Sus scrofa: one gene and its partners. The protein of the gene in region 5 interacts with the protein of the main gene of each other region in a biochemical or structural test. Links are inferred from orthologs where the notes say so. Each region holds a gene or a part of one and is shown on either strand. Other genes may lie near its edges.

Evidence for each region.
Region 1: the proteins of SNTB1 (region 5) and FRMPD4 interact in a test that uses a peptide from one of them, tested with the Homo sapiens proteins (2 studies listed by IntAct, with this or other methods). The link is inferred for Sus scrofa from reciprocal best matches to the Homo sapiens genes SNTB1 and FRMPD4.
Region 2: the proteins of SNTB1 (region 5) and DGKZ form a complex in vitro, tested with the Homo sapiens proteins (2 studies listed by BioGRID and IntAct, with this or other methods). The link is inferred for Sus scrofa from reciprocal best matches to the Homo sapiens genes SNTB1 and DGKZ.
Region 3: the proteins of SNTB1 (region 5) and GUCY1A2 interact in a test that uses a peptide from one of them, tested with the Homo sapiens proteins (2 studies listed by IntAct, with this or other methods). The link is inferred for Sus scrofa from reciprocal best matches to the Homo sapiens genes SNTB1 and GUCY1A2.
Region 4: the proteins of SNTB1 (region 5) and SLC16A7 interact in a test that uses a peptide from one of them, tested with the Homo sapiens proteins (2 studies listed by IntAct, with this or other methods). The link is inferred for Sus scrofa from reciprocal best matches to the Homo sapiens genes SNTB1 and SLC16A7.
Region 6: the proteins of SNTB1 (region 5) and TANC1 interact in a test that uses a peptide from one of them, tested with the Homo sapiens proteins (2 studies listed by IntAct, with this or other methods). The link is inferred for Sus scrofa from reciprocal best matches to the Homo sapiens genes SNTB1 and TANC1.
Region 7: the proteins of SNTB1 (region 5) and RPS6KA1 interact in a test that uses a peptide from one of them, tested with the Homo sapiens proteins (2 studies listed by BioGRID and IntAct, with this or other methods). The link is inferred for Sus scrofa from reciprocal best matches to the Homo sapiens genes SNTB1 and RPS6KA1.

Annotation. Positions count from the first base shown.
Region 1 is NC_010461.5:9,426,039-9,429,538, reverse strand, and holds part of FRMPD4 (FERM and PDZ domain-containing protein 4), read right to left. Parts: intron 2,781-3,500; coding exon 2,642-2,780; intron 1-2,641. UniProt on the Homo sapiens protein: Positive regulator of dendritic spine morphogenesis and density. Required for the maintenance of excitatory synaptic transmission. Binds phosphatidylinositol 4,5-bisphosphate.
Region 2 is NC_010444.4:16,148,771-16,153,055, forward strand, and holds the start of DGKZ (diacylglycerol kinase zeta), read right to left. Parts: upstream 2,801-4,285; 5' UTR 1-2,800. UniProt on the Homo sapiens protein: Diacylglycerol kinase that converts diacylglycerol/DAG into phosphatidic acid/phosphatidate/PA and regulates the respective levels of these two bioactive lipids.
Region 3 is NC_010451.4:62,206,081-62,209,580, reverse strand, and holds part of GUCY1A2 (guanylate cyclase soluble subunit alpha-2), read right to left. Parts: intron 1,993-3,500; coding exon 1,274-1,992; intron 1-1,273. UniProt on the Homo sapiens protein: Has guanylyl cyclase on binding to the beta-1 subunit. Isoform 2 acts as a negative regulator of guanylyl cyclase activity as it forms non-functional heterodimers with the beta subunits.
Region 4 is NC_010447.5:24,810,509-24,814,008, reverse strand, and holds part of SLC16A7 (monocarboxylate transporter 2), read right to left. Parts: intron 905-3,500; 5' UTR 875-904; coding exon 655-874; intron 1-654. UniProt on the Homo sapiens protein: Proton-coupled monocarboxylate symporter. Catalyzes the rapid transport across the plasma membrane of monocarboxylates such as L-lactate, pyruvate and ketone bodies, acetoacetate, beta-hydroxybutyrate and acetate.
Region 5 is NC_010446.5:18,515,756-18,519,255, forward strand, and holds part of SNTB1 (beta-1-syntrophin), read left to right. Parts: intron 1-2,000; coding exon 2,001-2,191; intron 2,192-3,500. UniProt on the Homo sapiens protein: Adapter protein that binds to and probably organizes the subcellular localization of a variety of membrane proteins. May link various receptors to the actin cytoskeleton and the dystrophin glycoprotein complex.
Region 6 is NC_010457.5:65,918,695-65,922,967, reverse strand, and holds the start of TANC1 (protein TANC1), read right to left. Parts: upstream 2,801-4,273; 5' UTR 2,586-2,800; intron 1-2,585. UniProt on the Homo sapiens protein: May be a scaffold component in the postsynaptic density.
Region 7 is NC_010448.4:83,941,157-83,944,422, reverse strand, and holds part of RPS6KA1 (ribosomal protein S6 kinase alpha-1), read right to left. Parts: intron 343-3,266; coding exon 181-342; intron 1-180. UniProt on the Homo sapiens protein: Serine/threonine-protein kinase that acts downstream of ERK (MAPK1/ERK2 and MAPK3/ERK1) signaling and mediates mitogenic and stress-induced activation of the transcription factors CREB1, ETV1/ER81 and NR4A1/NUR77, regulates translation through RPS6 and EIF4B phosphorylation, and mediates cellular proliferation, survival, and differentiation by modulating mTOR signaling and repressing pro-apoptotic function of BAD and DAPK1.

The DNA of each region.
Region 1 (3,500 bases), on a different chromosome or scaffold from region 5:
CACACGTATGCACATGCGCACGTGTGTACTATCTGGAACATATGCCATCACCTTCATTCTCACTGTTGAACTGAGGCAAAGTACTGAAAGATTGAAGTTTCATTCTTTCCCTGTGGTGACAGAATACTTTTTGGAACCAAGTTTTTGCCTCTTAAAACTTTATTAAACATTACCTTGTGAGTCACGATAAATTGGACAGAACTGAGGCCCTTATTACTGTAACTGTTTTAGAATGGTTGTTTTGGTTTTCTTCTTGCACATGTGCAATCTTAGCAGTCCATGGGGAAAAGGGGAAAAGGTTTGGTTTTCACAATGAACTTTAAGAGTTGAAAATCAAAAGCCTAAAACTGATTTTCCAATGGGAAAGAATGGTGTTAAATTGTCTTTGGAATTTCGAAGGTCAGAGTTAAATCGCTCTACATCTCCTCACTCAATGAGAATGTGGTCCACAGAAATAATCACCACTGAACCTGGCACACACTCACCACCTCCTTTTTGGTCCTTCTTGATTTATTATTCATCTGTGTCACTTAGACACAAAAGGCACTTCAAGGTGGGGCTGGATAAAATCTAGTTCCAAGTCAGGGTTGCCTTCTGGCACGCCGTGCTCACCTCTCTTCTCTCTGGTTTTCCTTTACCCTTTGACTGCAAGTGTTTCCACTTAACCAGCCATCATAATAAACTGTGTACCCGTTTGTCTCTGTGTGGGCATGGCTACATATTACTATGTATTTATGGAGTAATGCTTTATGTTTTTGGCTACATGCAAACATTTCAGACATTTAGGTTGGTTCCATGTCTTGGCCATTATAAGGAGGGCTGCTATGAACACTGAAGTTCATGAGTCTTTTCAAACTATTGTTTTCTCTGGATATATGCCCAGGAGTGGGAATGCAGGATTATATGGAAACTCTATTTTTAGTTTTGTAAGGAACTACAACCTAAATGTCCATCAACAGATGAACAAATAAAGGAGATATGGTATATTATTTACATACAATGAAATATTACTCAGCCATAAAAAAGAATGAAATTTTGCCATTTGCAGCCATACAGATGTACCTAGAAATTATCATGCTTAAATTCGGTAAGCCAAAGACAAATATCATACAATATCTCTTATATGTGGAATCTTAAAAAAAAAAAGACACAAATCAACTTATTTATAAGCCAGAAATTGATCCACAGACATAGAAAACAAATTTGTAGTTACCAAAGGGGAAAGTGGGGGGAGATAAATTAGGAGGTTGGGGTTAACACACATACACTATTGTATATAAAACAGATAACCAACAAAGACCTACTGTATAGCACAGTGTTTTATAATAACCAACAAGGGAAAAGAATCTGAAAAAGAATATATGTATGTGTATGTGTGTGTGTGTATCTGAATCACGGTGCTATACACATGAAACTAACTTAATATTGTCAATCAGTTCTACTTCAATAAAATTTTTAAAATTTTTAAAAAATTAAAAAGCAAAAGTAGAGGATTTTTCTTCCCTTCTTTCCCCCCCCACCTTCTCTTACAAACAGTGACAATGGAATTTGTTCTGAAGAATTTCCCTTCCTTTTAAAGGAAACCTGGATTATGGAACCCCATTATACTTTTTTCATGTGTCAGTAGCTCTGGCTTGAATGGTGGGATCCGTCCATCAGCCACATTTGCTGAGGGTGCACTGCAGATGGAGCAAAATGTTCAAATGAAAACCACTCACCCTCAATGAAGCCATCAGTTAAACAGCTGCAGCCCCCTCCTCCTCCTCCTCACTCTGGAGCTATTTCTTCCTGTCAGGTAGCTAAGATGAAGTATAGGACTGTTGCCATCTTGATGCTCCCGCCACGGAGCTAAGATGGCTGCCAGGGACCCTTCTAGAGTCCCAAGTTCAAGGGCTGGGTAATTCCCAAGTCTTGCTGTTGGTAGAGCTCCCCAAATCCTGGAGGTCAATCTGATGTAGGAGGGGGCGCCCAGGCATCTGGACCTAGGGCACCTTAAGGAGGGACAAGCCCTAAAGCTGGGGGCTTACGACTCCTACTGGGTGTTCCAGTCTTAGTTCTCTGTGCCCTGAGAGACCTCGGGAAAAGTCAGGCAGTAAAAACTCAGCCATGAAGGCTGATGCCCACGCCCTTCACAATAAGCAAATCACTGCTCCAGAAGCATGTACCTGACATTGCCAAGCGACATGCCAAAAAGGGGTGGAAAAAAAAAATCAACACTGTCATTTAAAAAGAAATTAGACCATATCAGAAGTATTTGAGGGAGTTCCCATTGTGGCTCAACGGGTGAAGAACCCAACTAGTCTCCATGAGGATGTGGGTTCAATCCCTGGCCTTGCTCAGTGGGTGAAGGAGCTGGCGTTGCTGCAAGCTGCGGTGTAGGTCACGGATGCGGCTCAGAGCCGGGGTTGCCATGGCTGTGGTGGAGGCTGTGGCTCTGATTCGACCTTAGCCTGGGAACTTCCATAGGTACAGGTGGGGCCCTAAAAAGAAAAAAAAAAATGTGTTTGAAGGCTTTTGTGTTAAATTTGGACAGGCGATCTTTTCATGGGTACAATTTTAACTTTGTAAAAAGTATGCTTATTATTGCTGTCAGGTGGGAAGGGGAAGGGAGGTCAGCGCTCCACGAGCTGGGAAAGAATACCTGTCTCCTGGGCCCCTGTGCTTTTCTTGTTGGCCATGTTAAATATGGACCTTCTGGAATCCACGAGCAGCCTGTAGTATCCAGCCGTTAAGCAGGCCAGGTTCATGGCATCGGAAGATTCCATCAGGAGCGTGATGGGCTACACAAAAGAGAACTTTCAGTTAAAGCCAACCCTGCTTAATATTCCTCCCTCAAGTGACTACAATGTAGGCTTATGAAATGTGAATAAATGAAGTCATGGGAAGTCCTTCCATTGCACCAACACAAATGGTGATACCATTTTGAAAGCCTAGAGATTCTGAATCTTTGCCAAGTCACAGGCGATTAAACAAACAAACAAACAGACAAAAGCACAAATGCTAGTTTTGTTCCAAACAGCTAACATTTTAAAAAGTCACAGTTAAGGGGTCAGTTACCAGATGGGAGCCAGCAATCTGAAAAAGAACAGGAAGATTAAATTTGGGTTTGTGGTGAAACTCAGTGTTGAAGTAAAAATCAAGTGGAAATTACTGCTAAGACTGAATGAAAAGTACCAAAGCGGTCCAGGAAAAGGATGCTTCTAAAAGGAATCAAAAATTCACAGGAGGGCAAAACAGACACGGGAGTTGAGAAAAGGCCTTGCTAAAACTTTCTGGAAACAATGAAATGATAGCGTCCAATTATCACATAATTGGACCCGGATCTTGGCCACATAGGGAGGTGGTTATTCTCATTGGCTTCGGAAGGGTGAATGAGCTGGTGTGTTCTTACTGAAAGAGAGAGAAAGTGAGAGAGAAGTAAGGAAGCAACAGAGAAGCAGACATCTGGAGAGGCAGAGAAACAGTGAGAGGACACCGGCCAGGACAATGGCCTTGGCTGA
Region 2 (4,285 bases), on a different chromosome or scaffold from region 5:
TGACAGGGAGAAGGGCAGGAGAGCTCTTGGCTCCCTCCGAAAATCAGTACCATCAAGGCTCACATTTACGGAGCGCCCACACGTGTCAGGCACTGCACTGAGCCCTTTACAAACGTGTGCCATTTCATAAACCGCAGCACCCTACAGAACACACATCATGCTCAGTTCCTGAGGACGTGCAAGGAGGTAACCTGCTCAGGTGCATAGCTGGTCGATGCGGAGCCAGCGCTGGAACCCGCCTCCACCTGAGGAGGACAAAGCCTGCACCTGAGATACAGGGAGAGCAGGGGCTGCCCTCCTGGACCAGGAGCTGGCACTCAGGTGGGACGGGGGCAGGAAGGGAGCCATAATAAAGCAGTAGTGGTCCCTTTACCCCAACACCTGGGCTAAGCACTCTCATGTGCCAGCTTCTTTGATCCCCACCACCACCCCAAGAGGCAGGCAGGACCAACGGCTCCATTACAGAGACGAGGAAACTGAGGCTTGACGACGTACAGTAACATGCTCCAAGGTCACACAGCTGGCCAGTGACAGGACTAGGACCTGATCCCAGGTCTGCCTGACATGGGGTCTGCTCTGCACCCGGGAAGAGGAAGCTGAAGGCCCAGCTGCCCACTGCTGCCAAGGCACCGGCTTGCCAGTGCTCCCCCAGGGTGTCGGCTTTCCCCACCCGCCTGGTCAGGCCGCCCTGTGACAGCTGCCCAGCCTGGAGGAGATTAGTCACCCGAACACACCACCTGATGCGAGTGTCACTCAGAAAACAAAAGGCCACAGTCAGTGCGGGGGGGGGGGGGGTGATAGGCTCACCATGGGCAGCGGGGAGGGCTGGACCCTGCCTGCTGCCCCAGACGGATGCCCACAAGAGGGACCAGGAGGAAGAGGTGGCCCGTACCCTCCCTCACGACATGGGTGTGGGGGGGTGGGGGGGCAGCGTATAGGTGCTCCCCCCGTGCCCTGGCCTGCGCATGGCCCGAGCTCTCCTTGGCTGCCTCGATGCGTGGGCAGCTGGGCAGGTGAGGCTGGGCTGGGGTTGGGTGACCATGTGCAAAGCCCCTCCCTCACAGGCCTCAGTTTCCTCGTTTGCCCAGGGAGGCTGTTGGCTGGCTGAGTGGACCTTTTATGACAAGCTCTCCTAGGAGGCCCCCACGCCTCCATGCTCCCAACACTCCCTCCCCGGGCCCCATGCTTCCTGTTCCCCAGGTCGCCATAGAAACCTCTGTCCTCTGGTCAGCAGTTGCCTGACTCCTGACTTCCTATCTCTGCTGAGGCTTCTCCGGGGTCTGGTCAGAAGCCCAGCCTGGCCTCAGGCCTGTCCCAGCCTTTCCTCTGCCTGGGCCTGGAGTTTCTTCCCACAGCGCAGCTCGGAGGGGCGGCTCCTTCTCACCTCACACCCTCGCCTTCCACATACCACATACCACACGTGCAAAGGTCATCAGAGGAGGCCCCACAGGGTTCCGACACCAACGGCAGAGCAAAACGGCTGCCCCTCGGCCTCCTGGTGGGGGACTGGGGAAGCCTCTTACACCCGAAGGAGACAGGGCGGGAAAGGACTCATGGGGCCCGCTGATGGGAGCCTGGGGAGGACAGAGGATGCTATGGGGAGACACACATGCGGGCGGGGGGGTGGAGGGGTCTGGCCACACGCCCTCGATGAACAGCCGTGAGTGTGGCTGCAGCGGCAAGGCTAAGGCAGCTGCTGGGGTGAGGGGACACGAGGGCCCCAGCTTCATCAGCTACTGGCTAAAAGGACAGGGTTCCTGGCCTCCCAGCCCACCAGACTGTCTCACACCCCATTTCAGTTTCAAGTGGAAAAGCCTGCGGGCTTTGGACTCCTACATCTGCCATTGCTTTCCCCGGGCTGATCGACAAAGTTTCCTGAGTCTCAATTTTCTTACCTGCCAAATGGGGACGATACTACCTAGTTTGGAAGGTCTGACATAAGGGAGGTTCGGCTAAGACTCTGGTATAAAATACCTGACAATAGGTACCTGGCAGAGAGGAGGGGCACGGCAGAGCCCACGCCCACAGCAGCGCCAGGGTGTGCAGACTGTGCCACCTCTTGGGGTTTGTCTCTGCCCACAGTGGGGGTGGGGACCCAGAAAGGGAAGCAGGAGTACCCCGGACGGCCACCACCCACATGAGGAAGAGAGCCTGGCAGCCAGAGCCATCTGGGTATCTGCTCATGCTGAGAGGGCCCTCTGCCTCTGGCATCAGGCCTGGCTCCCAGGGACTTCTCTGCCTCCAGAGGTGCTCGCTCAGGTCACCTTGTGGGATTCGGCTGGAGTGCCCACCCCATGCTGTGGGCAGCGCCCCACACGCCCCTCTGCCTGGGAAATGATGCGTAGTGGTCAGGGCCTGGTGCTGCTTCCCCAGGGTCTGCTGGTCAGAAGCCACCTCTGGCTGCTTTGCTCCCCCTGCCCCAGGTCTGAGGGACGGCTGGAAGGGGGGGCCTGCCGGGGGGCTGGCGAGGCAGAGTTCCTAGGTCTCTACTCACTACAGGGGGCCTGCCATAACCAAACCCAACCAAACAAAACCACACTGCACAGTGGGGAGAGGTGGGCCAGAGCTGCACAGTGAAGGAGGTGACCAGGCCAGTAAGTGTTAACCTCGACGGGGTCTGCCTGGCTCGGGGTCCCGAGCTCGGTGGGCCTCCTCTTTCCCGGTCCCTTTCCATCAGCTTCAGGAGCCTCGTCTGGGGACGGTGGTGCCTGGGCCCACCCGGACCCCCTCCTCCCCAGACCCACCCAGACAGATGCAGGAGGGAGGAAGCAGAAGGCAAGGGAGGGTTGGGGGGAGCCCCTTTGACCTGATCTGGAAGGCAGGGCGGCAGGTGGGGGCTGGGGTCCCCGTGGGCGGGCGAGCCCCGGCTCTGGCTCCAGCTCCGGGCTGCTGGCCACTGGCTGAGCAAGTCCTAGTTTGGAGAGTGAGCCGCCGCTGTGGCTGCTCCTCTGCCCCCTCCCCCTCGCCACCCTCCTCCCCCCAGCCTGAGACAGCCGTTATGAAAATAACCCGATTGGTAACCGACTGCACTTCCTCTCCCAGCAGTGCAAGCAGGCGGCAGTGGGCGGGCAGCACACACCACACGCGCACGAGCCTTGCCTCCTGGCTTCTCTTCCCAAAGTCCTCAGAGCCAAGCGGAGCAGCAGCCCAGGAGCCTCCCCTCCACCTGGCACCTGTCACAGCACAGCCCCTGCCTCAGCGATGGGGGGGTGGGAACTATGGGGGTCACCCAACAGCCTGTCACACCCACTAGATAGGTTTTCCAGGGTCTGAGGAGAGCATGTGAGACAGCTAAGCCCGGGCTCCAGATAAAATAACCACAAAAATAAATATGTGGAGTGTTTCACAACTTACAAAGCACTTTTTCACAAGCACTGCCAGACAGGAGGCTTGTACTCCCCTATGCAACAGGCATTTCAGTCCCAGCTCAAACATCAAGGTCCTGAGGCTCGTGGAGGGCTGACTGCCCGCAGCTCAGAAGTGGCTGAGCAGAGCCTCTGGGTCCCCAGTTTCCCAGCCCTGCCAAGGGGGCCTGTCAGATCCAGGAGAGGCCAGCCCATGTCACCTCTAAACTGCCCAGAATGCCACCCCACAGTTCATACTCTTGGCCCCTAGGGTCTATCTAGCATGGCAGCTCTCAAACTTCCTGGGCCCAGGACCCCCTTACACTCTTTTTTTTATCATTGAAGATCCCAAAATAGTTTTGTTTGTTTGTTTTGGCCACACTCACAGTATATAGAAGATCCCGGTTGCACCTGTGCTGCTGCAGAGACAATAGCGGACAGGTAACCTGCTGCGCCACAGTGGGAACTCCCTCAAATGGTTTTGTTTGTGGGGGTTATAGCTATTAATATTTACCATTATGACAAATTAAAACTCAGAAATGTCTAAAATACTATTAATTTGTTTAAAAACCATAAAGCCATTATCTATTAATATAAATAACATACTTTTATGAAAAAACAAACTATACCTTCTGAAACAATAAAGCAGCGAGGAGAGTGGGATGTTTTAATTTCTGTGAATCTCTAACGTCTGGCTTAACAGAAGATAGCTGGATTCTAATATTTGCCTCTGCAGTCAATCTGTGGTGATGTGCTGTTTTGGTTGAAGTATATGAAGAAAATTCTGCTTCACACTGACAAGTAGTTAGAAAAGGAAGTTTTGTTTTTGTTTTTTTAGGGCCGCACCCACAGCATATGGAGGTTCCCAGACAAGGGGTCGAATGGAGCTGTAGCCACCAGTCTACACCACAGCCACCGCAATGCCAGATCCGAGCTGTGTC
Region 3 (3,500 bases), on a different chromosome or scaffold from region 5:
AAAAATTCAAATTTATCAACAGAATCAAAATTTTTAACCAAGATTTTCTTCTTGCCATATTTTAGGAAATTATAAATTTGGAATTTGGCAACATAATAGTTCAAAAATATTATTCATCTGGTTATGATTCCATGCATAACTTTATTGACTGTAATTTTGTTTGGACCAATTGTAGGCTCCCAAATTTCCTATTCTGGCAAACCCAGGTGAATAAGCAGAAACGTAAACAGGATGAGAGGATTGCTATCTTTATTCTAACTAAAAATCCTGCCTATTGCTTTATTTTTAAACTGCCACTAACATGTTTAAATTATAATTGCATCTTCTCAATGAGCACAGTTCCTCATTATTGTAACTGGCAGGGGGCCTTGGCATTTGAGTCATCATTTCATTGTGTCTATTTCTTACCATGGTATACAAATTAAATAGACATTCAAGCCAGATGAAATATAGGAGGAAAAATCTGAAGCAGTAACTTCAAATTGAATTAATTTTTCTCAAATCTACAAAATGTATAAAGCAATTAACAGTTGGTAATAATATATTCTACTTCAGGCACATTTTCAAAAACATTAACTTCAGTTCTCAGGCCAAATCTCTCCAAGCCGAATATTGTAGTTTTGTAAAACAAAACCAACAGCTTTAATATTTCCTAAATTGAATGATAGAATAATCCTAGTGTATTCTGTATTCTCTCAAAGAATGAACATATTCTCAAGAAATGTGTTTTTATCAATACTAAAGTTTAATCAGAAGAGAAGTCTTAAGATAGTGACTTAATTTTTAACTTTTAGAAAATACATTATTCTGCACCTTAAGAAAAAAAAGGATATAAACCATATGTTCCTAGATTATGAAATTTAGAGCATAACATATTCAAAGTATAGCTAGTGTTTTACCCACATTTATTTAGGTTATCCTTCCCACAATGTTGCAATCAGTCTTACCATTTCTGTCACAGTTTGACTTAAATCAATGGAAATATTCATGGATTTACAGTATCAGGTTGTTAGTGAGTCCTATCATTTTTATAATTACTATGGCTAGTAAAAATACATTTCTTCTTTTTATATGATGAAATAAATTAATGAAAGGGATTATGCAAATGGCTGGGAATAAATCCAAATCTTTTTTGATATGTCCAGGGGCCAGTAATTTTCTAAATGGCACACTAAGCTCTCTTGCCTAAATAATTACAAGTACTGCCAGCATGTTATCTACTGAAACAATTATGTAATCTCCTAGTTCCCACCACCCACATCAAGTCACTTACCTTTTCTTTATTCTCAGTGCCAGAAGCCTCAGGCTTGGTCCTGATCACAAACGGAGTAGACAGTCGCAGCAGGACCCTTTCAAAGGTGGCATTAATCTTTGGAGAAACGATCTCGAAGCAGTCCTCAAACATAAGCACTTTGTGAGTGTCACATCGGAGCTGTTTCCTTAGTCCTTCTCCCAGCTGAAGGACTGACATGTGGGGGTCAAACATCAAGTGGAAAGGGAAGGCTCTGCAGAAGGTGTTGATGCTAATTCTCAGGTCTGCAGGAACTTGGGAGGTTCCCTGTGGAAGGTTCTTCGTGATATTAGTATTTTCACATTGTTTGATAAGGAAAGAAAGACAGCTACAGTTGCCTGGGTTTGAACCATCTGAGCACAGTTTCTCATTTGCAACCTGATCAACTTCTACATCCAGCCGATAGATCTTCTTTCCTGCAGCTTTAATCATCCCAAGCATTGCAAATCCCACAATATGGTGAGGGTGGAAGTAGTGAAGCATAAGAGTACCTTCAGGGAGCTCTTTGCATAGGAATGACGGAGACTCCAGAGTGGCCTGTTTTCCAAAAGAAGTTCTAATGTGTTCCAATAAAGCATCAAAGCCATTAAAAAAGTCCTGCAACGTGCCACCTACAGCTCGAAGAACTCTTTCATTCTCATCGAAGCATATATTAAAGAACTCCTCACCAAATCTTTCTTGAATTTCCTCAAACTTCAAACCTAGAGACAAATGGAACCAAAAGTTAATGAAGTACAGCATAAGTAATTGAATTTATAGCTTTTGTAATGTTTATCAAATGAGGTAGCTAGTGAGTGCAGCAAGAGAGGTATTTCCCTTTGAGAACCTCAATTACTCAAATAGTTTAATTCATATATTTTGAGTTAAAGAAAGAAAAATTTAGTATGTTCATGATGCTTTTGAGATGTCAATAAGCATAAACTTTGGCTGTTGTTGTTTGTTTTTAATAAACTTTATTTTTAGAACAGTTTTAGATTCATAGCAAAACTGACCAGAATATAAAGATATTTTCCAAGTACCCCCTGTATCCCACACACACTACCCCTCATAACTATCGATATTGTGCATCAGTGTTATGTTAGTTACAACCAATGAACCTACACTGACATATCAATATCACCCAATAGTGTTTATTCTTGGTGTTGAGCATCTGAGTTTTGACAGATGTACAATAACATGTGTTCACCATTATAGTCTCTGTGCTCACTATTATAGTATCATACAGAGTATTTTTTCTGCCCTCAAAATTCTTTGTGCTCTACTCTACCTATGCATTTCTCCTTTCCCTCAACCCCTGAAGCACTAACTTTTTAAATGCTAAGCTAGCTATACTCTTTTCTTTTCAATACCCTATTCCATGTGTTGTAATTATCATGAATAATATATCTTCCTTAATGATTTCCCTCATCTTTAAAGAATTTGTGAGGCAACTATAAAATTGTCTCCATAATCATGTCCATTCAATATTACTATTTTGTTTACCAAAATTCATTTGTTAAGTGGGAAATATCAACCAGAGAGGGAATCTATAGTACATGGGCAGAGAAAGGTATCAGGTTATCTCATGTAAACAGAAGGACTTAAATTAGTAATCTCAGAGAAAGGCATGAAGGTCAGCTAGACCCCAGGAAGAGAAAAACAAAACAAGGAAATAAAACTGTGAAATGATTTGCATTCATTCTTTCACCTACAAAAATAAGAGAAAATAAAAGTGGAGTAAGAATCTGAACAGACAGAGTTAAAGGCCATTGTTCAGTTTTCTCAGTTCATATTCTTTCCCAAATGCCATAGTAAAAGGAAATCTACTTTATAACAATGGATTATAATAATTTATAACAAATATGCATACAACATGTTATATGATAATTAGAAGCAGAATAACCTGTGATCTAGTTAGATCAACACTTGAAGATGATTAAAGGAAAAATACAGAGGAAACATATTGGTCCAAAGAGGAAGAATGTATACAGCACAGATAAAAGAGTTGAGTCGGTATCCTAAGAAACTTCTACGTTAACACATGCTAGAGCTTCTCCTTTGACTTCAGCTGAAATCAAAACATCTATTCTACATATTCATATTTTATTGTCTCACCTATCCCATCTTATAAGGAAGTCCTAAACGTTAGGACAGAAAAAAAAAAAAAAAAACAGGTCCCTTTGCTAGTGTCCCATTAGAATGCAAAGCAGTCTAGGCTGTCTTTAAGACT
Region 4 (3,500 bases), on a different chromosome or scaffold from region 5:
CAGGCAACCATTTAAATTAAAAATGGAATATTTAATAAGTACTGCATGGATAAGGAATTACTTTATTCACACAAACTTGAACAGATCCAGAATGTACATGATAACACTCCACTTGTGCCGCTTAAAGTGAATTGCTTTCTAGGCTTATAGATTTTCAGTAACTTGAGGTTTTTTTTGTTATTTTTTCATTAAGAAAAAAGTATTCCTACTAATGGTAGCAATAGTAGCTGATAATACTGACTTTATAGCACAGACTACATTCCAAATTAAATGGAAAAATGCTTCCCTTAAAAATTCCATAATTTAATAAATCTTGGTGCCAAGACATCCTTATTTGAATATAAATACCTGAGTTAGATTCAGAATGAAAAGAATGTATATATTTATGTGTGACTGGGTCACTTTGTTGTACAGTAGAAAACTGACAGAACACTGTAAACCAGCTATAACGGAAAAAATAAAAATCATTTTTAAAAAAGAATGAAGTGAATAGCTTAAGATGTTGAGTCAGTAAAATGACTAAAAATTCAGTCCTAATTATACTTGGTTTTAAGTGACTATCACACAAAGAAAGGGCTTTAATATACTAAGACACAGTGGCATAGAAGAATTGTTTTCTTAAATCAAAATTCTATTTAGTCCAATGAATCTTACCTCCTGCGTACATAACAGCCAGCATAATCGATGATATCCATGCTATTTCACTGTAGGTTGTGTTGAATATTTGCTGAATTTCTTTGAAGAAGACTGTGACAGCTTTTGGAAATGCATATGAAAATCCAATGGAGATAAAAGATGCTCCAACCACCACCCAGCCCCATCCTCCATCAGGAGGTGGGTGTGGTGGTGGGGAGCCTGCTGCTGGTGGTGGCATTTCTACTCCTCTATTTGAAATTCAAGAAACCTATTTAAAAGATGAAATGATGATTTAAACCATATTTCCATTTTCATAGATCACTCTTAACATTTACCAAAATAATATTTTCCAGTTGTAATACAACTATATAATTTTTCACAAATTTTTTAATACTCTCGTACTTATATAAAGTTATCAGAAAATTTACCCCCAAATTGGAGTGAGGTACGCAACTTTGTTATGGGCTAAAAACTGAAAGCATTTGTTTATGGAAGCAGAAATTACTCAATGAGAAGTTAAGTTCCAACCAAAAAATAAAAGGTAATCTCAATCAGATCTCTAAGATAAGTGATAAGATCATCACTTAATATAGGATAATTTCTTAATCTAAAACATTCAAGATTTTTAACAAAGGTTAAAAGGTCCATATATTAAATCTGATGAACTTTAGAGCATTAAATAGTAGGTGTATTTTAGAATTTCTCCATTTTGTGTGTGTGTGTGTGTGTGTGTGTAGGTTGGATCTGCGGCATATGGAGGTTCCCAGGCTAGGGGTTGAATCGGAGCTACAGCCGCTGGCCTACGCCACACCCACAGCAATGCAGGATCCGAGCTGCATCTGTAACCGATACCATAGCTCACAGCAATGCTGCTGGATCCTTAACCCACTGAGCGAGGCTAGGGATGGAACCCACAACCTCATGGTTACTAGTCAGATTTGTTTCCGCTGTGCCACAATGTGAACTCTCTCTACTTTTAATAATTGAGAATACTTAATATTTTAGCAGAGATCTTTTTTCTCAGCTTGTAGGATTAGAAATTGTATGGTTCTAAGCAATTAATTATAATGTGCTTTCAAAATTGGCACTGTCTATGATTATACATGAATGATACATTTTATGAAGTCTTCATAGCAATGAAATGCTCCCAATCAATTGGATGGTATACTACTTTTACTAAAAGAAAGGGACTTTTTGGATATGCTTAGGAACACAACTGTTAGCTTTATGGTATAGAGTTCCCACCCCGTTGTGGAAGAAATGATCACATATACCTTAATACAACTGAAATTAAATTGAAAATATCTTGGTTCCCTAACATCAGCGTTTCTTTGTAGAATGAGGCTGCTTGTTTGGCTTTTAGCTGTAATCTCCACTATTTCTCAGTATCTTCTTTTTACTACTCTCATTCTATCTGTGACTATTTTCCAACGGAAATAGTGAAAAAAGAAAATATTTTTCTGCTGGTAAGATAATGTTGAAAATAAAAGCTAAATTTGCCACTAAATCAGAAAACCTACCAAAAAAACTACACGCTACCTATGAAAACAAACACAGGGGTTTAATTTTTGTTTAATGTCAAATGGTATCTACAATATTTTCAGTGTTCTCCATGCCCTTTTTAGATCTTTAGTGAAAATATGCTCTGAAGTTTTCTAATTCGTCCGTAGTTATACCCAAGGACTTTGCTTTCAGAAATTCAAAAAGGCAAAATGATAAAATAAAATAAGAGCACTGTTTTCCTAGGCGATGAGTCGCAGATTAGAAATAACAATGTGGGCAACTATTACCCTCACTTTTTTTTTGAATGTTAATTTTGACAAATATACTTTGGTAAATATTCTACAGATGTTAGCTGTTTAAATTGATCCCAAATACCATACCTTGTCAAAGAATGATTTTGAAAAGATTTGTATGTCTTCAGTATATTTACAGTCAGCTTTTGTAATACTTTCTGCTTTCTTGGAAACAATAAAAATTATCTATGTCATCTGTCTATTAAATTTGGCTTCTCTTTGGTCATCAGTAAATCCAGCACAGTGGATTTATAGCATATGACCACTGGAAATAACATCTTTTAAAAAGTAGAATACTTAAGGAACAAAGAAAAGGAAAGAGATAAATTATAAACACTGGTTAAACCAGCTGAAAAGAGCACTCGGTCTTTGAAAGTTGTCTAAATAATCTGAATTTACATATTATTGAATTTCATTATTGTATTTTTAAACTAGCCAAATGTCTTATTGCTTGAAAATAAAATAAATCTAGAAGAATACTAAAGAATGCCAGAGAGCACTTATGTGGTAACTACTTTTTTTGTTGTATTATCCAAGTGTAAAAATCATCATAGGGTTTTAAGTCCTTATTGTATAATTTTCCTGCTTTTGCACAAAGAAAATGAAACCACCTTTCATTGTTAATTCATAATATTAAACTATTGTAGCTTTTATCATATCTATATTCCAAATACTTAGAAATATAACCAGAGAATTTATTTTTCAGTTATTTCGAAAATCACAAATAACACATTTCTAAATAATCTTAAAATCATTATATCTATTGATTGAACTTTACTAATATTCAAATCATGCTATTACTATTAATACTGAAATGTACTAATGAGCTAGGTTGGTAGTGGGATTTCCATTTAACAGACAGGAATCTATCCTCATAGAAAAATGAAGGGGCTTTTTAAAAAAGCATTACATGATGGGGTCATTTTTTTCTCAGTACTTTCTGTGTTTTATTATTTTTTCATAGTTCACCAGTTATCTCAGTATGTGATCGTTCATTCTCTTTTCCCAGCATATTTACTTGATTTTAGTTATAATGGCATCCTCGAGATTGTGAGTCACCTCTCATAT
Region 5 (3,500 bases):
TTTAATGAAGTCCTGTGCAAAACAGCAGAGAAATCCAGACTCCTTGCAACAACTTCAGGAGTGTTCTAGAAAAGAATGAAGATGACCAAAGGGGTTTGGCTTAGTTTACATTCCACAAATTTCATAAAATCCTTTTCTCAACAAGCTGAACTCTACTTATCAGGAAAACAATGAGGCCGTTGATAGAGCAGCCAGAGGAGAATAACAAAGAGTTTGTGTGGACTGAGCTAGCTGGGTGGTGGGAGTGAAGAAATTATGGAAATGACCAAAGGTGCAACCCAGTTTCAAACGGAAAGATGCCCGCAGAGAGTTGGGCAAACAAGCTTATGTTTTAATCAGCGCTTCAATTAACTTGATAATGTCTTCAATTTTTCCTGTGTAGATTAAGAATATCTTCAGATAACCAATTCCATTATATAAAGGCCACAACAAATACCACTTGAGGTCAACTAGAAGGAAAAGTCATCACAATCATTTAATTCAGACCGCCTGATGGCCTGGCTCTAAAGTTCAAACACAGAGGAAGGGAGTAAAGAAAACATGTTTAGAGCCCATGTGCACACATACTCTGCAGATGTTACAAATGAAAAGTGTCAAAATCGAGGATTCATGGTGGGAAGCCATTAACTACATTAGTGCCGAGGCTATGTTACCTTTTGGTTGTCCTTGGACTGGGTGGAGGAGATTCAGGGCTCTTCTGAGAGGCTTATTTAAGAGTTGCCAATGGGGCTGTGCCCAGAAGGGCTCATAGACCTATTAGGGAATGCACCTCTGCAAAATATCAAACCTTAGTTTACAAGTTAAAAGATGACTGCAGAAGTCGCAGGAAGGGGTATCCAGTTACCCACTTCATTCTGTGAGCAGAGAGACACCCTATTTCTTCCCCCAGACGGAAGGGCTCTCCCACCCTAGTTATTACTGAGAGCCTCTCTGCCAAGGTCCTTCTTCACCTTCCTCCTTAGCCTGAGCACCAGAGTATGAGAAGGATGCAGGAGACAGAGTGGAGGAAAGAACTTGACTCTTGAAATCTAAACCACTGGGTTATGACATGTTCACCTCTCTGAGCTTTGTTTTTTGTTTTTTTCTTTATAGGCCACAGATGCAGCATACAGAAGTTGCCAGGCTAGGGTCAAATCAGAGCTACACCTGCTGGTCTACACCACAGCCACAGCAACTTGGGGTCAGAGCCATGTCTGTGACCTAAACCACAGCTCACAGCAACACGGGATCCTTAACCCACTGAGCGAGGCCAGGGACCGAACCCCCATCTTCATGAATACTAGTCTGGTTTGTTAACTGCTGGGCCACGATAGGAACTCCTTTTTTTTTTTTTTTTTTTAACCTATTATATTAATCTAAGGTCCTGCTTCCAAAGAGTCGTAAAGTGAAATTCAGTGTGGTGTATAAAGCTGAGCTGAGCTTTAAAGAGTAGTCAACTACCTTCACTCCTCTGGAGCCCCATAGCCAGCAAGGAAAATGTCCTCGTTTCCCTGAAGAGTTTCCAGCGGCATATGAAGACCAGAGGCAGTTTACTAGCCAGGGGTTGTTAAATGCGGTGTTTTCTGAGGCAAAAAAATCCAACCTGATGCTTAATCACCTTTTCCAGAACTCTTTTGATTAAAGGGTTTTTTTTTGTTTGTTTTTTTTATGGCCACACCCGTGGCATATGGAAGTTCCCAGGTTAGGGGTCCAGTTGGAGCTGCAGCTGCTGGTCTATGCCACAGCCACAGCAACGCCAGATCCAAGCTGCATCTGCGACCTATACCACAGCTCACGGCAATGCTGGATCCCCGACCCACTGAGAGAAGAACCCGCATCCTCATGGATACTAGTCAGATTTGTTTCCACTGAGCCACAACAGGAACTCCTGATTATTAATTTTTAACTTGAGAAAGAAGTTTGTGACTGGGCCCTGAGAGTGAGGAGACTTGAAGGTCAAGTGCCTGGGGAAATGACAGGCTTCCATTGTTCACATTTTGTCCCTTCTCTGTCTCTATCAGCTTGTACCTACAAAAACCAGGAGTGCCGTTTGACCATCCATTATGAGAATGGATTTTCTGTTACCACTGAACCACAGGAGGGTGCCTTTCCCAAGACAATCATACAGGCTCCTTATGAAAAGCTGAAAATGTCTTCAGATGATGGAATCAGGATGCTGTATTTAGATTTTGGAGGCAAAGATGGAGAGCTCGTAAGTGTACTTTTCCTTAGTTTGATTTCATGTATTTCATCATGCACCACACGTTGCTTGCAAACATAATGCTTATATTTATTTAGCATTTGACTGTTAACAAAGTACTCAGACAGGTTCATGTCATATTCAATCCTTGAAAAACAGTGATCAGATCTAATTTTTTCAGATCTGTACCTTGGTCTCATTTTTCATCAGAATACTACAGAAATATGTGAATCAAAGATAAGGATCCTTTACAAAGCCTTAAGTTCTTCTCAAAGAGAGTCCCACCAGCCTCAAAAGGTACCTTTAACTGTTTAAAGGTCTCAAGCATCTACTTTAACCTGGGCATTGTGCTAGGTGTCAGACATGCAGGGGTATAAAGTGCAGGGTCTCAAAGCCCTGGCCAGCTGGGAGTTCTCAGAGGATCAGAGACCTTGAAGAGGGCGGGGTGGAGGTGGAGTGGGGTTGGGGCTGGACCAGGAGCAGAGCAAAAGGGGCAGTGAGGAAACCAAGCAAAAATGGTCCCTCCTAGGGGAATGGAGAGAGGGCCAGACAGGGGCCCAGGAGTTTTGAGAGCATGTCAAAATGTGTCCAACAAAATCAGCCAGTTGCTCAGTTAAGGTAACATTTATACTTCTCATAGCAATGCAAATTGCCCATGTATTTATAATCATGATTTCCTGTGATCGTGACTGCCAACGCTAATGAAGGAGTTCCCTTGTGGCACAGCAGGTTGGGGATCCAGTGCTGTCACTGTGGCCTGGGTAACTGCTCTGGCAAGGGTTCGATCCCTGGTCGGGGAACTTCGGTGTGCCATGGGCACAGCCGAGAAAACAAAACTATGTTATTTCAGTTCCACTGAAAAGTGAAGCTGCACATTCTATTTCCTGGCAAGTGTCATTCTCAGGAAGACACAGCATCTCATATAAGCCGTGGAATGTTGAACTTCAAAGAGGACTTGATTCGGAACAACTAGTCTCTGTTTAGGTCCTTCCTAGTCACTGGCTTAGTCAACAAATAATTATTGGCTCACATTTGCTAACAGAGATGGGGGCTATATGAAATACAGAGATCAATCGCAATTTTAAAGATCTAGTCATTTCACCTCAGCTACTAGCCTTGCACAAGACCTCCTCCTCTCAGTCCCCGCTCTCTGAAGGAAGGGGTCAGGGCCACGCTGAAAAGAGCAAAGGGGCCTTTAATCTCAAAGTTTCAGCACCCCCGTTTAAGATCTTGCAACACCACTAGCCCCAGTGTGGTACCACATTTCTTCCTGCGGGTATCGCAGGCTGTCACGATGAAGTCGGTGCCCGGCAGCTGACAG
Region 6 (4,273 bases), on a different chromosome or scaffold from region 5:
CAAGTTAAACTAAACTTTTCAACAGAAAGATAAAAAATAAAGCCATCTCTGACTATGAGACTCAAAATCTACTTGTAACCCAACTCAGACAAAAACCTTTACAATCGGGTTAAAAATGTCTACTGGAAACATCAACATAACATTAACCTCCAGCTATGATGGCAGGCATCATTATAATATGGATTACAGCTCTACCAGCCCAGGGATACTGATTTTAATGTTGCCCAAAAGATAAAGAATTAATCAGCAACTCAGAGGGAGATGTTGCCTAAAAATGAACAATTTAACAGAGAAAATTCCATTGTCTTTACATTTGCATCCTTGGTCACCCACTATCAAAAACCCACTATGGCACCAGATAAATTGTGTGTGGTTAAAGAGACAAAATGTTCTTTTTTTCTACAGGCTGTTATGGGAAACAGAAAAAGGCTGACTATGAATGGGTTATGTTTTAGTTCCACGGTGGACATGAATTATGATAATTTAGACATTCTGGTGGTTAAACCAAAGAGGCAGGAAAAACACGGCTTACAAGTCCCAGCAAAAGTTAAATTTGTGGCATCACAGCTGAAAGACAGGGTCATGGAAAGCGACCTGAAATTTATTTCTGGACTTTCCTGCCTCCACTAAAATCGATGACACTATTTCCCATCTCTTATTGTCAAATCACAACAGTCCGGAAGCCTGGACTGAATTCACTTGGCAGGTAACAGGAGCAACCCTAGGAGGAAGTCCTGAAGGATGTCAGATACCATATTTCCTTTACTCCCACATACTTTTCATCTTAATACCGCCAGGATATATTTACCATGAGCTCTGACACCCAATAAGCATTCTGGTGGACACAAACTGGCATACTCTACTGAAGGTCCCTTGCGAGATCTTTAAGAAGCTTAGATGGGTAAAACATTCAGACTACCACTATAATGAACATCTCTGGATGGCTCGTAAATTCTTTCATTCCCAGCAATCAAGAAGCAGCTGTTAAAATCCTGGAATCCTCAGAGTAGCAGATCTTAAATACCTCCAAGCTGGCCAGGAAGTTTCCCAACTGCTTTCTTCTCCTTCCCCTCCCCCACCCTAGGAGTGCCAGCCTGGCAGGACTAAAGATGACCCAGGAAGGAAAAAGAGAGAGAGTAGCGGACCTGGTGAAAGCAGAGATACAGACTGCCTTCATGGCTGCTACACAGAAATACCAACTCTCTGTACCCACCAACCCGGTTTCACCTTTCCTCTCCCATCTCTACAAACAGATTAACTTCTGCAGCCTGAGGGTCTGGCATTTCAAGTTAACGACCTCAGCAGTCCTAAACCCAATTCCTCAAAGATCCTAAACCAGGCACTTCCTTTCCTTGCCAGAGTGGGAGGCCCATCCCACGGGAAGATTCAGCTTCCTTTATCTTGCAACCTTCCCAGACTTCGATTCTTCTAGGGTCAAGTTCAAGATGAAGGTGCCCTCCTAACCTCCCCGAGTTTATTCCAGCAAGGAAGGGCGCTACCGAGACGAGTACCATCCCTCGAGGCACCGGGATCTGGGGCTGCCAAGGGTGGGCTGGAGGGAGTTGGTACGGGAAAGACTGTCACGGAGCCGGGTGACCTCCGAACCCCCGGGCGCAGCGCCGTATTTCTACCTGGCCACCGCCGCATTTCCTCCCGGAGCCTCACACAATAAGTGAAGTAAGTTTTGAGAACGCCGGTCTAGCGACGTCTCTGTCGGCAAACACCGCACACAATGCCTTAGGGCTTCCTTCCTCGCCAGCCGTTCCGGAAAGCTCCAGCGCCAAAGCCGGGAGCCCCTCACACCCACAACGTGGCGCGCCCGCACCCCAAAGTCCTGCAGGAAGAACTTGCCCCCGATATATGTTTCCCAAAAGAAGTAAGCACGCTTCACTCTCCAAGAACGGGAGGGTACATAACCTTAATACAATTCCAACTCTCCTTCAATCTCTAATCCTAATTCACCTACCCCTTCCCCCAAAAAACGTGGATATACTCATCGCAATGTTCTTGGAAGCGAAGCAATACTTTCAACTCTGCTGGGGTTTAAGTTCACGCGTCAACTTCGCGACCCGCGCTCACCTACACTCCCGGGGCGCCCTGGACCCCACGGTGGCAGGCGCACCTCTCCCCCGCCTCTCCTGCCCCAGGTACCAGGCGCAGCCAGGCCCTTGCCAAGCCCAGAGGCTACAGAGGAGGCGGGAAGGGGGGCGCGGAGACGCGCCGGGCGGGGGTGATCCCGAAACTCGAGCGTGCCGCCGCGCGTTCCCAGTGCCCCCGAACCCCAGCTCCACCCGGGGCCCGCTCGGTCCGTCGCAGTGGGGAAGCTAAAAGAAGGCACCGATTCTCCAGAGACGCCAGGACCAAGGCCCGGAGCGCCCAACATGTCCGTGCCTATCCCCGGAAAGCTCCCGGGTGTGCCCAGCGAAGGGGGGCAGGGAGGCTCCAGAAACTTTCCCACATGCCTTTCCACTCTCCCCATCACCCTCTCCTCTTCCCGGGACCCCCAGCTCCCCTCTGCACTGCAGCAGCTGGTCCTGCCCCGGACGCGCGGAGCCCGGCGGCGGCGCCAGAGCGGCGGGAGTTACCTGCAGGGAAAGTTTCCAGCTCCTCCGCGCTGCTCCCCACCCCCAGGGCCGGGCCTCGGGGCGCGGCCAGCTCTGCGCTCCGCGGCTACCTCTCCTCCGACTCCCAAGGCGGCCGCTGCTCCCGCAGCTGCCACAGCTAAGGCTGCGCTCCCGCCCGTCCCCCCTCCTCGCACAGCCCACAGCCGGGCCTCATTGGCAGCGCGAATCCCCGCCCTTGCGCGTGTTCCCGAAGGCACCTTCCTCTCGCGCGCCCGCCCGGGCCGCGCCTCCCGCGCCCCTCCCAGCCCTGGGCTGCGGCAGCTCCTGGGACCCGCTGGGGTGCGGTGCGCGAACTTTCTATAGGGTCCCCCCACCCCCGACCTTCCCCCAGTGGGGCTAGGCCCCCGATGCTTCGCTTAGGCCCCTCCAGGATTGGATCAAGATGGGTGATAATCTTTTTTTCAACCTCTACAAATCAGTGAAGTGGCCCGGCCTCCCCCCTCCTTGCTGCTTTTTGAAAGCAGCGGAGGAGGACATATGGGAGCAATTAACCAAGCTGAAATTTTGGTGGATGCTTTAGGGTGACTTGTGTGGCTTTCTTGAATTTTCTCTGCCTCACTTAACTACACACCACACACACGTGCGCGCGCGCGCTCAAACATTCACTTTCTGGAGCAAGATTGAGTTCAGGCAGATGGAAGGTGTAAGGGGCATCTCGCCTGCTGTGTCTTTTTCTTTCCCAAATGCGAATTAGGGACTTTCAGGAGCCCGTGATTGCCTCCTGCGCCCCTGGGACCAGGTCCCAGAGCCTCCAATCGCTCTGGGGTGGCCCTGTGTTGTTCTGTGCTGTATTTACGCAGGGCCAACATCGTGCTTGTATCGGCGGGAGGAGGGAGGTATGGAGGTAGGAGAAACACAAAGATGCTATTATTGTTTCGGTTGGCAGCAGTAAATTAAATTACCAAGTTTCTAAAATGTATTGTTATACCCTAGCAGAGGAAAACCAGGATAGGGCCCAAAGATTCTGGAGTCCCCCCAAGATCCCAGGCAAGCAATTCAGGCTGGGGGGCTCGGCCCAGTCCACACCCGAAGCCCTTTAAATCAGCCTTGGTCACGGAGGGATCAGCTAAGACTGTTGCTGCCTTGCATGGCCTGTGGGAATCGTGCACCGGTCACCCAGATAATGTGTCTGGAGCAGGGAATACAGAAGTTGCTATAAATGGATTTATTGGCAACCCCTAACCTTATGTGGCAAACCCGCCTTTAAAGACAACTGTGTTTTAATCAAGTTCCCCCATAAAAACTTCAACCTCACGCAGAGCTTCCCAATATAAAGATTCCTAGTAAGAGGAGAGTCCATATGTAAAGTTCCTGTGAAAAGGGACAGGAAGTAAAATGACATACAATCTCTTTACATAAATAAAAGATGACTGAAATTTGCTGGCTTTTTCACCCACAGTTTTAAAGGCTTGATTATTACTGTCCTGATATTTGAACAGTAAACATATCAGCAGCCTTGAAGTCGTCCTGAAACAAAGCAGGATATGAATATTTAAAACATAAACTTACTAAACCAGAAAAGCTATTGACTTATTTCTTCACTCTGAAATATCTCATTACTGAAAAATATGGTAATGCATTTTATTTAATTTCTCTTGAAATGAAATACAAACAAGTTACCAATCTTTCAACAATAGATTAAAAAGCAG
Region 7 (3,266 bases), on a different chromosome or scaffold from region 5:
CCCATATGCTTGCTTGCTGCTCCCCAAAGGGTAGGACAAGGGTCCCAGGCATGGGCTGATTCTACCTGGGCCAAGGCCACAGAGACTAGAGTCCTGGATGGTATGGGGCCTCTGGAGGGGACCCTGGCCTCCTGTACCAGGCCCCCTTGCTCTTGCAGCTGAGGGGGCTGGGCCACTCACCTCAGGTGCCACGAAGTTGGCAGTATAGCAAGGTGTCATGAGAAGCCCATTCTCAGCCCGCAGCTGCTTGGCAAAGCCAAAGTCACAGATACGCAGGCACTCAGGGTTTCCAGACTCGTCAACATACAGGATGTTGCTGGGCTTGAGGTCCCTGTGCACAACCTGGGGGCAGAAGGGTCAATTCTCAATGTTGGCAGGCTGCCAGCAGCCCAGGGCAACTGCCAGGGATGGGAGAGTTAGAAGATGGACACAGGGGTTGGGATGGAGGATCCAGAATCTAAAAGGAGAGGTAGGGGCTGAAAAGGGGCCTGAGCGCTACTGGTACTGCCAACCTGAAACCTTTAAGTCAATGTCTGTGAGGCAGTGCTAACTCCACCTGTCTACACCCAACTCCTCAAACCTGCCCATCACACAGTCTTACCCAATGGCAACTCCACCCTTCCCAATGCCTGAGCCAAAATCTTAAGAGTCACACTCCATTCCTCTTTTTTTCGCTCATATTCCTCAATCGACCCATCAGCAAGCTCTGCTGGCTCTACCATTAAAATATATCCAGGGGAGTTTCCTTTATGGCTCAGTGGTTAATGAACCTGTCTAGGATCCATGAGGATGCGGGTTCGATCCCTGCCCTTGTTCAGTGGGTTAAGGATCTGGTGTTGCCATGAGCTGTGGTGAGCATCGCAGACTCGGCTCAGATCCTGTGTTGCTGTGGCTCTGGCATAGATCAGCAACTGTAGCTCTGATTCCACCCCTAGCCTGGGAACCTCCATATGCCGCACATGCCGTGGGCGTGGCCCTAAAAAAAAAAAAAAAAAAAAATCCAGAGCCCAACCACTTCTTAGCATCTCTACTGGCAGCATCATTCTGACCCCAGCCTAACCACCATCCCTCCCCTGGATTACAGCATCCACCCCCTAACTGGTCTCCTTGCTCCCCACCTTGTCTTCCACAGCCTATTCTAAACAGAGCAGCCAGAGTGATCCTGTTAAATGTAAGTCAGGTCATGTCACCTCCAAGGGTTCCCCTCTTAAGAGGAAAAGTCTCTGCAATGGCTGGTGGCCCCACCTGATGAATCCCTGGCCCCTCGCCCACACCTCATGCACTCTCTGGTCCCTCCCACTCTTCTCCCTGGGCTGGCTTTGGCCACACCAGCCTCTTTGCTCTTCTTTCAATGTGCCAAGCTCCCTCCTGCCTCAGGGCCTTTGCACTTGCCATGCCCTCTTTCTGGAATATTCTTCTCTCAGGCACCTGCTGCCTCATTCTCTTCTTTTCTTTCAGGTTGCAGCTCAAATGTCACCTTACTAGTGAGGCCTTCCCTGGACCATTCTGTATAAAACAGCAATCACGGACCAGCACTCCTCAGTCCCCTCACTCTGCTTTCTCTTTATCCACAGCATTGACCACCATTGGATATTTACTTGTTTTCTGAATCCACCCACCGGAATGCAGACTCCGTGGGTGTTTTGCCCACTGCTGTATCCGGAAATTCAGGTTAGTTCCTAGCCCAGAGGAGGCATTCAATAAGAATCTGCTGAATGAATGGATGAATGACGCTTACTACTGAGGCCTTAAGCAAATGACTTTCCTCAGGCCCCATTTGATCATCTGGAACCAGAGGAGGCCAAGCCACCCTAATAACTTCTCATCCACCCCCTCTCCTTCTCCATGGTTCTATTCATAGTCACTCCTCTAACTCTCGCTAATTATTGACAACTCTCAGATCTCTGAGTCCGGGCTCCTATGGCTGCTTACCAGATGACAACCACTGAATATTCCATAGGCCCTCAAACCCAACACATCCCAGACTAAACTTGTCCTCACCCTTCTGTTCCTCCTCCCATGAGTTCACGGGGCCTCCCTGAGTGTGGTCAAAAACCTTCAGTGGCTCCCTACTACTTGCAGGATAAAGCCTGAGGTCCCCATCTGGATATGGAAGGCTTGGCGATCTGTTCCAGCCTCACTGTCCACTACAGTGCTCAAGTATCCCAAGCTCAGGCCGGGGGACAGGGGGGTTCCTTCAGCCATAAGTCACCATATCTATCGGGGGAAGCCCTCCTCACCCCAGCACCCAGCACAGGGCCTCACACAGAACAAGCACTTTGTGAACTTTGTGCACTGAACGAACGACTCACACCCTGAAACACGCAGAGACCTTGCAGGTTGGATCAGCTGAGTCTCACGTTAGCTGGCTTTATGAGATGGTTCTTGCATAGCCCCAGTGGAGACATGCCAACAGGCTCAGAGGGTAGCTGCTGCTCACTCCAGCTGACAGTCACCATGCCCAGGTTCCCAAAGACAAATGACCAAACCAAGCCAAATCCCAAACAAGAGGACACCCATGCTGTGCAGGCCAAACAAAATACGTGTGCAGGCCAAACGCAACCACTGAGTCAACAGGCCCTGCTGGCCTCTGGCAGAGCTGTGATTTCAGTCAGGAGGCAGAGAGGCCAGAGTGGGAATCCTGGCTTTACCAGCAGTAGATGTGCAATCTTGGCATGTCACTTAATCTCTCTAGCCCTTGGTTTTCTCACCTGTAAAATGGGGCTAAGAGTGCTCAGCGCTCAGGGTTGCAGGAAGGAGCACATGAGTTACGTACCAGAAATATGCAGCCCAAGGCTTGGAAAATGGAAGCTGCTGCCGTAGTAACCCCAGCCTCTCTGGGGCTGAACCCCACCAACATGCTGGATGTTAAGATACAGCCACTGCCTGTTAAGAATCCCTTAAAAATTAGCAGACCACTGCTGTATAGCCACAGGGAACTTTACCCAATCAGTTGTGATGGAACATCATGTAAGGTAATATGAGAAAAAGAACATAAATATATATAAAAAACTGGGTCACTCTGCTGTACAGCAGAAATTGACAAAACTCTGTAAATCAACCATAACAAAAATTTTTTAAAAATGAGAGGAAGAACCGGAAGGATAGGAAAATGAGAGGACAGATGCTGTCAAAGCAGCAACCAATCACACACAAGTTAGGGGCACAGACTCTGGGGCCAGTTTAACTATGAGACTTGTACTTAAGCTCCCAGAGCCTCAGTTTCCTCACTTACAAAATGGGCAAAATGATACCCTCTTGTCACA